2 linked regions of the Caenorhabditis elegans genome follow. The protein of the gene in region 2 interacts with the protein of the main gene of each other region in a pairwise test. Each region holds a gene or a part of one and is shown on either strand. Other genes may lie near its edges.

Region 1 (4,857 bases), on a different chromosome or scaffold from region 2:
TATTTGGAAAATTATCCAATTTTAAACTATTTTTCTCGAATTTTTTTTGAATAAACATTCAAAACATCTTGTATTCAAGTAGGTTCCAGCATTTTAAACCCTAAATTCACTAAAACAACGACACTCCGCTATTCCGCTCCGCCCCCATCGCGTGTTGTTTAGTCTTGTTTAGATTTCCCACGGTTTTCATAGTTTAATTATGCGAAAATTTAATTTTGTGATTTAAAATTGTTTTATCACATTTTCCAAACAAAAATATTGATTCATTTTGCAGAAAATTACGATAACTATCGAAATTCTAAACAACACGTGGTGGTGGTTAAGCGGAATATCGGAGCGTCGTTGTTTTCCGGTTTTTTGGGGTTTTGGGCTATTTTTTGTTAAAAAGATCGGATTTTTAGACGTTTAGAAGAAATAACATAAGTTTTTTGAACAAAAATTCGAATTTTTTCGGAAAAATCCTATTTTCAGCTGTTCTATTTCCAGCCAAAGGATTAGCAAATTACGAAGAAGCGGACAAAAGAGAGGAGCTTCAGAGGAGAGAAAAACATATATTAGGCGATAATCTCGTACACATACATACATGTAAATTCAATTTGCAAGAAAATGGAAGAAAAAAAACAAAGTTAGGCGAGGAAAGAAAAAGAGAGAGATGAAGATCGAATGAAACGAGCAAAAAAAAAGGCGAATGAAATTGGTTTCTTCTATTGGCTAGCGGTCGAAAGTTTTCCTGCGCTTTTCTTTTTTGGTGACTAACCACTTTTTATGAGGTTTTGCTTTGGAGGGAACACAAAAAATCATTTGGTGGAAGAGAAATGACGTCATAGGTGGCATAGAAAATTTAACGGTCATGAGTGGGGAAGAAATGCCGTCACACGTGGCCTAGAAGGTTTGCTAAGACAATGTGGAAGAGAAATTACGCCACTCGTGGCCTAGAAACTAGTGAGGCACTATTTTGAAAAATCAGTGACGTCACAGATGGCCTAGAAACCCCTTCGACACAACGACGTCACAGTTGGCTTAGAAAAATAATGACGTCACTAATACCCTTAATATTGCAATTAGGCGGTGTGGAAGAAAAATCAATTTTTCAAGAAGAAACATTAAAAATTTCGAAAATAAAGTTCGTTAAAAAATCTAAAAAATTTTCCAAAAAAAATCGGAAGTTTTCGGGAAAAACATTAAACATTTTTAGAAAAAAATCGAAAAATGTAGAAAAATAAATGAAAATTTCGGAAAAAACCTTTAGAGAAATTTGTTAACGAGCCTTAAAATTTCTGAAAAATCTAAAAAATTCGGAAAAAAGGTTCCGTGGTCTAGAAAAAGCAAACTAGGCCACGGTCGTGAGGAGTTTCCCAGCCATCAATATCTCACGGCCACACACTAATACCAATATGGAAGCCGTCTTAACAAAGAGGCGCCGGGGGTAAATTCTCATGGGGACTGATTTTCGTGTAAGACCCCGACAACGTCTTCTTCCAAAAAAAAAAAGAGGTGAGAGGCTGGTGAGATGAAATCTTTTTGTATATGCCAGCAGCCCTGAGCCGCCAAATAGTGGAATAAATGAATGCGGTAGAAATGGGGGGCCCCGAGGATATGGGGAGGGCAAAAGTGAAGTGGATGCCCCCACCAAAATGCTCTTTGTGCACATAAATCTCTTCTTTCCCAAGATCTCTCTCTCTGAGAGAAAGAGTTGAGAAAGTTTTCGTTTACTAAGTAGTACTAGAACGTACATATAACTGGATCTTTTCGAGTACTCTGATGTGCTCGGCGGGAAGAAAAAGTTTTCTTTAAAAAATTTTTTATTGGGGTTTGTCAGAGGTCGCACAAACAACGACACTCCGCCCATTCCGCCCAATTAAAAAACGAAATTTTTGTGACCACTCAGTCAAGTGTGGCCCTTTGCTACGTGGCCGTGGAAACTCAAAAAACTAGGCCATCAACTTTTTTCGCGGTCATTTTACATTTTGCCTTGTCCAAGTTGAGTTATGCCAAAATTCCAAAAAAAAGTTTTATGATCTTTTTGTGCTCTGTTTTGGCTTACTATGCACTCTCTTTTGCCAAAAAAATGTGTTTTGTATTTTGAGCAGTTGAGCAAATATTGGTGTCCCGTAGAGATATAAATATTGGGAAATGTATCAGAGGAAATATTTAAGTTTAACTTTAAGGGCTCATATCTCAGCTCTGTTTAAAGTTATCAAAAATTTGTCAACCACAAAAATATTTATCACATTTTTTCAATATTTTTAGAGTTTGTAACTTTTTTCTAGCACTTAAACTTTCAGAGATACGGGGCTTCAAAGTCTACTGAGCCGAAAAAAGAAAGATCTCTAAGAACTCCGGAACAACGATCCGAAAAATGTTTTTATGCAAAAATTTGAAGAAAAAAGAGTCACGAACAGTGTTGGGAACAAGAATATGCACTTATTGAAAAAAAGAAAAACGGATATCCAATTTCAACACAATGTCCACTCTTGAGAAAAGGGTGCTCCTACAAAATTGTGTTTTATTGTTTTTTTTCTTTTTTCGACAGGAGGAAACAGGAAATTTTTGAGCACGTTGTTTGAAAATGGGATTATTATTATTATGATAATGTGATAAGCAATCAGAAAACTGGGTTTCCGGTATATTTTTGAATCGGAAGGTACAGTAAGCATGCCTTCAACACGGCCTACGCCTGCCTCATGCTTTTTCCTAAAAGGCAGGCACGTAGGCATGCTTGTAGGCTTGAAAAAAATATGCAGGTATTCGTAGAAACCTGCCTACAAGGCGACCTACTAGCAAAGTACACTTTTGTTCTTCAAATTTCAAAAAGAATTTCTAATTTATTAATATCATTTCTCTTTTTAAGTTAAATAAACTCAAATTCAATAGGTAGAATAAACGCCAGCATTCGGGCCCTGAGAACCTGCCTACCGGCCTGCCTGCAAGGCGACCTATCAGGCAGGTAGTCAGGCAGGCAGGCAGGCAGGCAGGCAAAAATCAAAAAATTCAAACTAACCATCATTCGATCATCGGTTACAAAATTCATAGTAGCCGTATCAGAATCTCGACTCTGTACTCGCTGCAGCCGTTGCTCTTCTGACTCGGAAACAAATTGACTGGGTCGATTGCTGCTGCAATAAAAGGAATGAGCAAAAACTGTGCAAAAAAGAAAAGAAACTGGACGGATTAAATGGAGGCTGGGAGGTGTCAAGAGCACTCACTTACCCCTTATTCACTTCAATTCTGACGCGCGGAGTTCCTTCCCTCATTGCGGCTGAAAATTTGCTTTTTTTTTTGGAAGAGTTTTTGGAAAAAAAAACAAGAAAAGTAGAGCAAAATATTGTTTAAAAACTTAAATTTTGGATTTTTCAATAAATATTTGCTAAATTTTTATGCAATGACGCTCGGAATTTGGCTGAACGTTCCAAGTTTTTTTCTTTTTTTTTCAAATCAAAATTGTTTTGTTCTTAAAGTTAAAAAAAAATGCTGTAATTAGAATTATTAATTTAAATTTTCCTTTTCAAATAGTTTTTGAGTTGTTCAGTGTTTTATAACACCTGTCCCTCTCTTTTTCACAGATTTGATCGTGTTCAGATTTCAGGCTTTTGCACTAACTTTCAATTGCTTATAACTTTGTTCATGTGTGAGATATCAAAAAGTTGTCAACTATTAAAATGTTTAAAAAATATTTTCAAACACATTGTTAGTTGACAACTTTTTGATATCACTTATAGTTAAAAAGTTATGCATGTTTTAACATATAAAGTCAGGCCTTTGCACTTTTTTTAAAAACGTGCATATTTTGTGAACCATAAGTGATATTAAAAAGTGTCAAACTAACAAATTGTTCAAAAATATTAAGTAAATATTTTGTTAGTTGACAATTTTTTAACATCTTTAACGGAAAAAAACTTATAACTAAAATAAATGCAGAAAGGTGAAAACAATTTTAAAAGTTATGATATAATCAACTTTAATTCGTAGCAATAAATGTTTTTGAAATTTGAAAAAATATATTAGAAAAAATATTATCACGAAAAAGCCGATCTGAAATTTAAAAAAATTCAGAAGTTCTCAAAAAAATCTTCAGTCAAAAATTGTTTTTTTTTCTAAAACTTTCGGAAAAGTGAAAGTCTCTGTAAATTTAAAGCACTGTTATAGCACTGAAAAATTTTTAAAAATAGTTAAAATGGCAAATTCAGGTAATATCAAAGTTACAGAAAAAAAAATTTCAAAAAAAAATTTTTGAAAATTTTTCGCATTTCAAAAAATTCCGATTTTTTTTTCAAAAAAAAGAAACAAAATTGAGGTGAAAATATAATTGTAAAAATTAATTAGACTTGGAAAAAACATATAGAGTGCGAAAAAAAAATTTATCGAAAAAAATGGTCTTAAAAAAAATTTGCTCCCGGGAGCAACATTTTTTCTAGTTCAAAATGATATGAATTTTCATAGGGGTCTGTCTATCTACTTAAATGTTTTTTTTTTCAAATAAGATACATTTCTTGTAAAAGTTCGAAAAATGAGCTTAAAATGTTGCGTTAAAAAAAATTGACACATGGTTCAAGAATGGTGGGAAAATAGATAGAGACACTTATAAAAACACACACACACAAAAATGTTAAAATCTCGACTTCTTTTCTTCTTCTTCGTCTGCTTTTCCTCTTCCCAATGTGTGAGACTGTTTGCTCCTGAAGCTGCTCCGCGAGCTGCGCAAGCGATGCCAACAGGCGTGTCGGCAAATATGAGAATTGTATGGAAAAAGCATAGAGAAAGATGTGTTTGTTGAAATTTTAAGGGAAAAGAATTTTTTTTTCTTCAGTCAGGGAAAAGGTTAACATAGGAATGTTGATGAGTGTTGATGATGACTAG
Region 2 (4,968 bases):
AATTATTATTTTATTCGTTTTTTTCCCAAAAATTTGAGAAAGCTTGGACAAAGAAATTCTATAAAATATTTATTTAAAATTTATTCAACCAAATCTCTAGCTAAGTTTTGGAGGTTTTTTAAGGTTGTAATTTTCTAATTTCGAGTAATATGACTGAATACTACAACTTGAGACAATGAACTCACAGGTCTAAGTTTTGTTTTGATATTTGGTCATTTTAGAGGTATTAGGTTTTAACTATTTCTCACAGGTCTCACAGTACAGGAGTCTTTGAAAATAGTTTCAATCAATTAATCATTAACGTTGACACTTTCTAATTGAAAGGTCACGTTCTGGTAGTGAGTATATAAGATTTTCTAATCAATTGAAATAAATCAAATCAAATATTGTCTGTTGTAAACATGCCCCTGCTGAGTGTTCTGCTCACCCTCGCCGTGTTCTACACTACTGTCCATGGAAATGTACCAACGCGGGAGGACTTAGTTGCATGTCCTGAAGGCTTAGTCATCAACGGATTCCAACTCAAACTTTAACCGTTGCGAGGCCTTTTCGAGGCTGATCATGGTGTCACTGAACTCGTCTTTTTCTGCAATCCACCGGACGGAAGTAACTATTCTAATTAGTAAACTAGGTAATTAAATTTCCAATTTAGACAACCAAAGCCCCGATAACTTTATTGTAATAGACAATAATTCGCCATATGGATACTGGAGACAGATTACATGGTGCCCCAAAGGATCTGTTATTATTGCAATCCAAGAAAAAGTTGATTTCGAAAAACTTGACAACGCCGGTATCACCAACTTGGCTGCTAAATGCGGACGTCCACAAGACGACAGAACTGTTCAACCATCTTTTGCCTCTGGTGTGATAAAATAACATTTAGTGTGTTCTGAGATTGAATTTGCAGAGTTCTTCTATGCTCATGGTAAATGGACCCAGGAAAACTGGTGTGATGTTGGATCGGTCTTGGCCAGCTTTAACCCTAAATCTACCAGAAGACGAGGACTCGTAAGCGCTTGTTATGGATGCCGTAAAATCTGAACTGCTTTTTGTATTGCCTCTGGAACGAAATTTTAAAAAGGCATTCCCTCGAACTGTGCATTTACATGTATAATAAATTTCTAATCTGTCATCTTCTTATCTAAGCAACACAGAGAACTCTATTTATCAAATTTTTCAGTTATAGAAATGCCGCAAAGAACAAAGATTGTTAACATAAACGCCAGCTTTCTCGAACTTCCATTGAGTTTAGTCACTTCAGTTTAGTTGTGTTCAAAGTTTTGTTCTCCTATGTGGGCGTAGAATCGTCAAAATAACAAACAAAAACCTGAAAATTTTTAAGGAGCGAAAAAAATTAAAAGAGAAGAAGAAATTAATTTCACTCAATCAATTAATAACGGCTGCAACTATGCACCTGCTGATTGCACTGCTCATCTTCACCGTGTTCTACACTACTGCCCATGGGAATTTACCCACGCGGGAGGACTATATTGCATGTCCTAAAGGCTCAGTCATCAACGGATTCCAACTCAAACTTGAAACGAAACGAGGCGTTTTGAGCCTAGATCATGGTGTCACTGAACTGATTTTTTTCTGCAATCCACCGGACGGAAGTAACTATTCTAATTGGTAAACTAGCTAATTCAATTTCTAATTCAGATACCCTAAGCATCGATAACAAAATTGTCATTTACAATGATTCGCCATATGGATACTGGAGATCGATTCAATGGTGTCCCAAAGGATCTGTTATCATTGGAATCACAGAAAAAATCGATTCCGAAAAATTTGACAACGCCGGTATTACCAACTTTGGTGCTAGGTGCGGACGCCCAGAAGACAGAACTGAACAACCATCTTTTCTCTTTGGTATGGTGGAATATAACATGTGTGTTTTTTAATTTAATTTGTAGCCAAGCTCTACACTCATGGTAAATGGACCCTCCCGGAAAGCTGGTGTGATGTTGGATCGGCCTTGGCCAGTTTTAACCCAAGATTTACCAGAAGACGAGGGCTCGAAAGCGCTAGTTATGGATGCCGCAAAGTCTAGAATAATAGCAGTGGAATGAAATTTTAAAAATGCAACTAATTGAACTACGTCTTTATTTCAAGTTCACGTGTATAATAAATCTTTTTCATTTATTTACGTTAAAAAAACGTTTTTTTTTGTTAATTACAATTATGAGAGCATTAGAGAAATTGCCATAGCAGCAAATTTTTCAAAACATAAATCTAATTTGATTTTGAATTTTGGTGGTGTATGTTTCGTTTTTTCATGGAAAATTTTGTATAACTTAAGCCGAAGCTGCCGATCAATCATGTATTTCCAATTTGAGCTCATATCTGAAGAACCGTTGGGCTTTTGCTATAACATTTTGCAGGAAATTTTACACTCTTGAAATGACACAGATCAAGAAACACGATCAATATTTTTGAAAAAAAAAACTTCGGAGGTTTTAGTTCAGTTTTTTGTCAAGTACTACATAAATTTCCGAGTATCCATGGGAATAGTATCCTTAAAAGTGGGGCATAATAAAACATTTCAAAAAAGAGTTTTCAAAACTCAATCGAAATTTGGTAATTTGCCGAATCCTCCAAACATTTATAATTTTTAAAGAACTTTTATAATTTCTGCATGTTCAGAATGTTCAAATCTAGAATGTTCAAATAGCAACACTTTGAACGCAGCGCAATTGAAGTATGAAAAAGTCGTAAGAAAAAATATATGACTTCCAAAATTATGATAACCAAGTTTTCACTACTGTTTGACGGTACAATAAATTTCAAAAAAAAAATTGGAAGTCATTTTTAGAAGTCAAAACCACAGCACTCACAAACACAATAACTCCAAACATTTGCATAAAAACGTACCTCTTAATAATCTATGTATTTCAGACAGCGAAGATGTACATTTCTCAAGTGCACTTGTCATGGTTTTGTGCAACTGTTGATGATGTTGCTGTTGTTGATGAAGATGGTAGGGCTGGTGAGGAGGAAGTTGAGATAAGGACGGTGATGCGGTGATGGATGAAGTGGTAGTGGGGGTGGAAGCAGAGTGCGATCGGTGATGCAATGGAAGAGGACGAGAGGCTCCTCCAGCAGTGGTGGTCAGGTGGTGATGGAGGAACCAAGGAGGAGATGAACACCGTTGGCTTGATGATACTTTAAACTCCATTTTGCTCACACACACACAATGTTTCCTGCAAAGAGAGATTGATTGAGTATTTCTTGACTTGAGAACTTGGAAATTTGATGGATTGGAGAGAGTTCAAAATTTAAAGGTTTATATACTTTTATATTCTAGAAAAAAAACAACGATTTTTGAAAAACAATCAACTTCCCTGTCAATCACTGTGCAAAATGTGTCCTGGTTTTTAAAGTCTTTTACTGGATTGTTTTTGATATGTTTTTTGACGCAAAGTTCCAGGTTAGAGTTTTAAAACTACAAGTTACTGGTTTTGCGGTTTCTTTTTTTGAATTTTCAGTCACCAGAGGTTTGGAAAAGGCCTACCACACGCGCCGCATAAAATTAAAAATATATGTACTTTAGACTTGGTCCAAAAAAACTGATCACAAGACCATAGTATACTCAAAAAATTTAATTGGGCGGCGAGGTTCTCACGAGTTCTCGAATGACAAATCCCGACTTTTGAGCAGATACAAAATAGCAGAGAAACAGCTTAATTGTGATTTATGGAATTTGAGTTTTTAGTTTTGCAAAGAGTTTCGGGCCTAACAAAGCTCAGATTTTTTCTGATAAAAACTGGAAGGGAAAGTTTCGCGATTTGAGACCTCTTACATGAACGGGAACGATGAACCGGTTGATCTTTTTCAGGCATTTTTGTGCAATAGGAGGCATTTTGTGTAGGCAGAAAAATGGATGCCTGCCTGCCTGCTTGCCAACAAGGCTGCCTACACGCATGACGCTTTGAGCTACGAGTGCCAAGGGCTTTTAATATACATGAATGAGAGCACGAATTCGCTTAATTTATGTTTAGAAAGATAACTAATTTTTGTTAAAGTTGGGATTATATGTAAACCATAAAGCCTGCCTGCCTACAAGGCTGGCTACGTCTGCCTACACACGTAGCACAGTTTGAGTTATACACTAACGACCGAAAACTATATAGGTAAAAAGATATAAGTGTCCAGAGGCAAATGGAAGGCATATTAGAGGCGCCCAGGCGGAACGTCAAGGTACCAAGCATAGGCTTGAAGGTAGGCAGGCCTTTTTGTGGTAGGCTTATTTCAAACCTCTAGGAAAAGAAAATGTAGCCTAATATTTTTTCACTTTTAAAACTCATAAATCCTCTACTCAATTAGTACATTTGCTTTCTGCCGACAACTAATTTTCAAAAAAAGATGAGATAAAGATGAAAAAACCAAAAACACTGAGCTTCATCTTCTTCTCTTCCTCTATTTTTTACCCAAAACTACAAAATCTTCATCTCCGCCCATATCATCATTATCCACCCTCACTTTTTGATGTTCTGTGTAAAATCAGCTGTGTGTCGAAAGAAACGAAGAAGACAAAAAATGGAGAGAAATTTATGCGGCTGTTGTGTTTTTGTGTGTGCTGCCACAAATTTTCTCCGTGTTTTTTTTCGTACAATGCTCTTTTAGTACGTTGTCATCCTGATGGAATTTCGGAACGCGGCGAGAGCAGCTGCTCCGGCTTGCCCGGCGATGACCAATATCCGAATGGCTCGCAAGAACTCATTATTCTCGTTTTCTTCTGCTAAAGATTTCGAATAAATTGCACAATACCCTGAGCATTGCACAATTTTACACCTCTTCGCTTGATGGCTCAATTTTGTTTGGGGATATGGAGATAAATTACCTGGATTGAGCTAAGGAAGAGCGAAGAGTTTTGGGGTCCCGTTTGGATTTTAAATAAGCTATAAACTTTTGAAGACGGCGTTTTTATTGATTTATGCCCGCTTTTGTAGAAGTTCACATTGTTCA

The links.
Region 1: the proteins of F19C7.8 (region 2) and feh-1 interact in a two-hybrid assay, tested with the Caenorhabditis elegans proteins (one large-scale study listed by BioGRID).

What each region holds. Positions count from the first base shown.
Region 1 is NC_003281.10:2,548,329-2,553,185, reverse strand, and holds the start of feh-1 (Protein Fe65 homolog), read right to left. Parts: upstream 3,267-4,857; 5' UTR 3,255-3,266; coding exon 3,211-3,254; intron 3,117-3,210; coding exon 3,002-3,116; intron 1-3,001. UniProt on the Caenorhabditis elegans protein: Modulates pharyngeal pumping activity, at least in part by regulating expression of the acetylcholinesterase genes ace-1 and ace-2.
Region 2 is NC_003282.8:4,634,918-4,639,885, forward strand, and holds the start of F19C7.8 (SH3 domain-containing protein), read right to left. Parts: upstream 3,179-4,968; coding exon 2,875-3,178; intron 2,054-2,874; coding exon of another isoform or gene 1,917-2,053; intron 1,873-1,916; coding exon of another isoform or gene 1,663-1,872; intron 1,617-1,662; coding exon of another isoform or gene 1,412-1,616; exon of another isoform or gene 1,384-1,411; intron 1,045-1,383; coding exon of another isoform or gene 911-1,044; intron 866-910; coding exon of another isoform or gene 653-865; intron 607-652; coding exon of another isoform or gene 534-606; intron 1-533. Other genes in the region: R105.5 (Vitelline membrane outer layer protein 1), read left to right, coding at 1,412-1,616, 1,663-1,872, 1,917-2,053.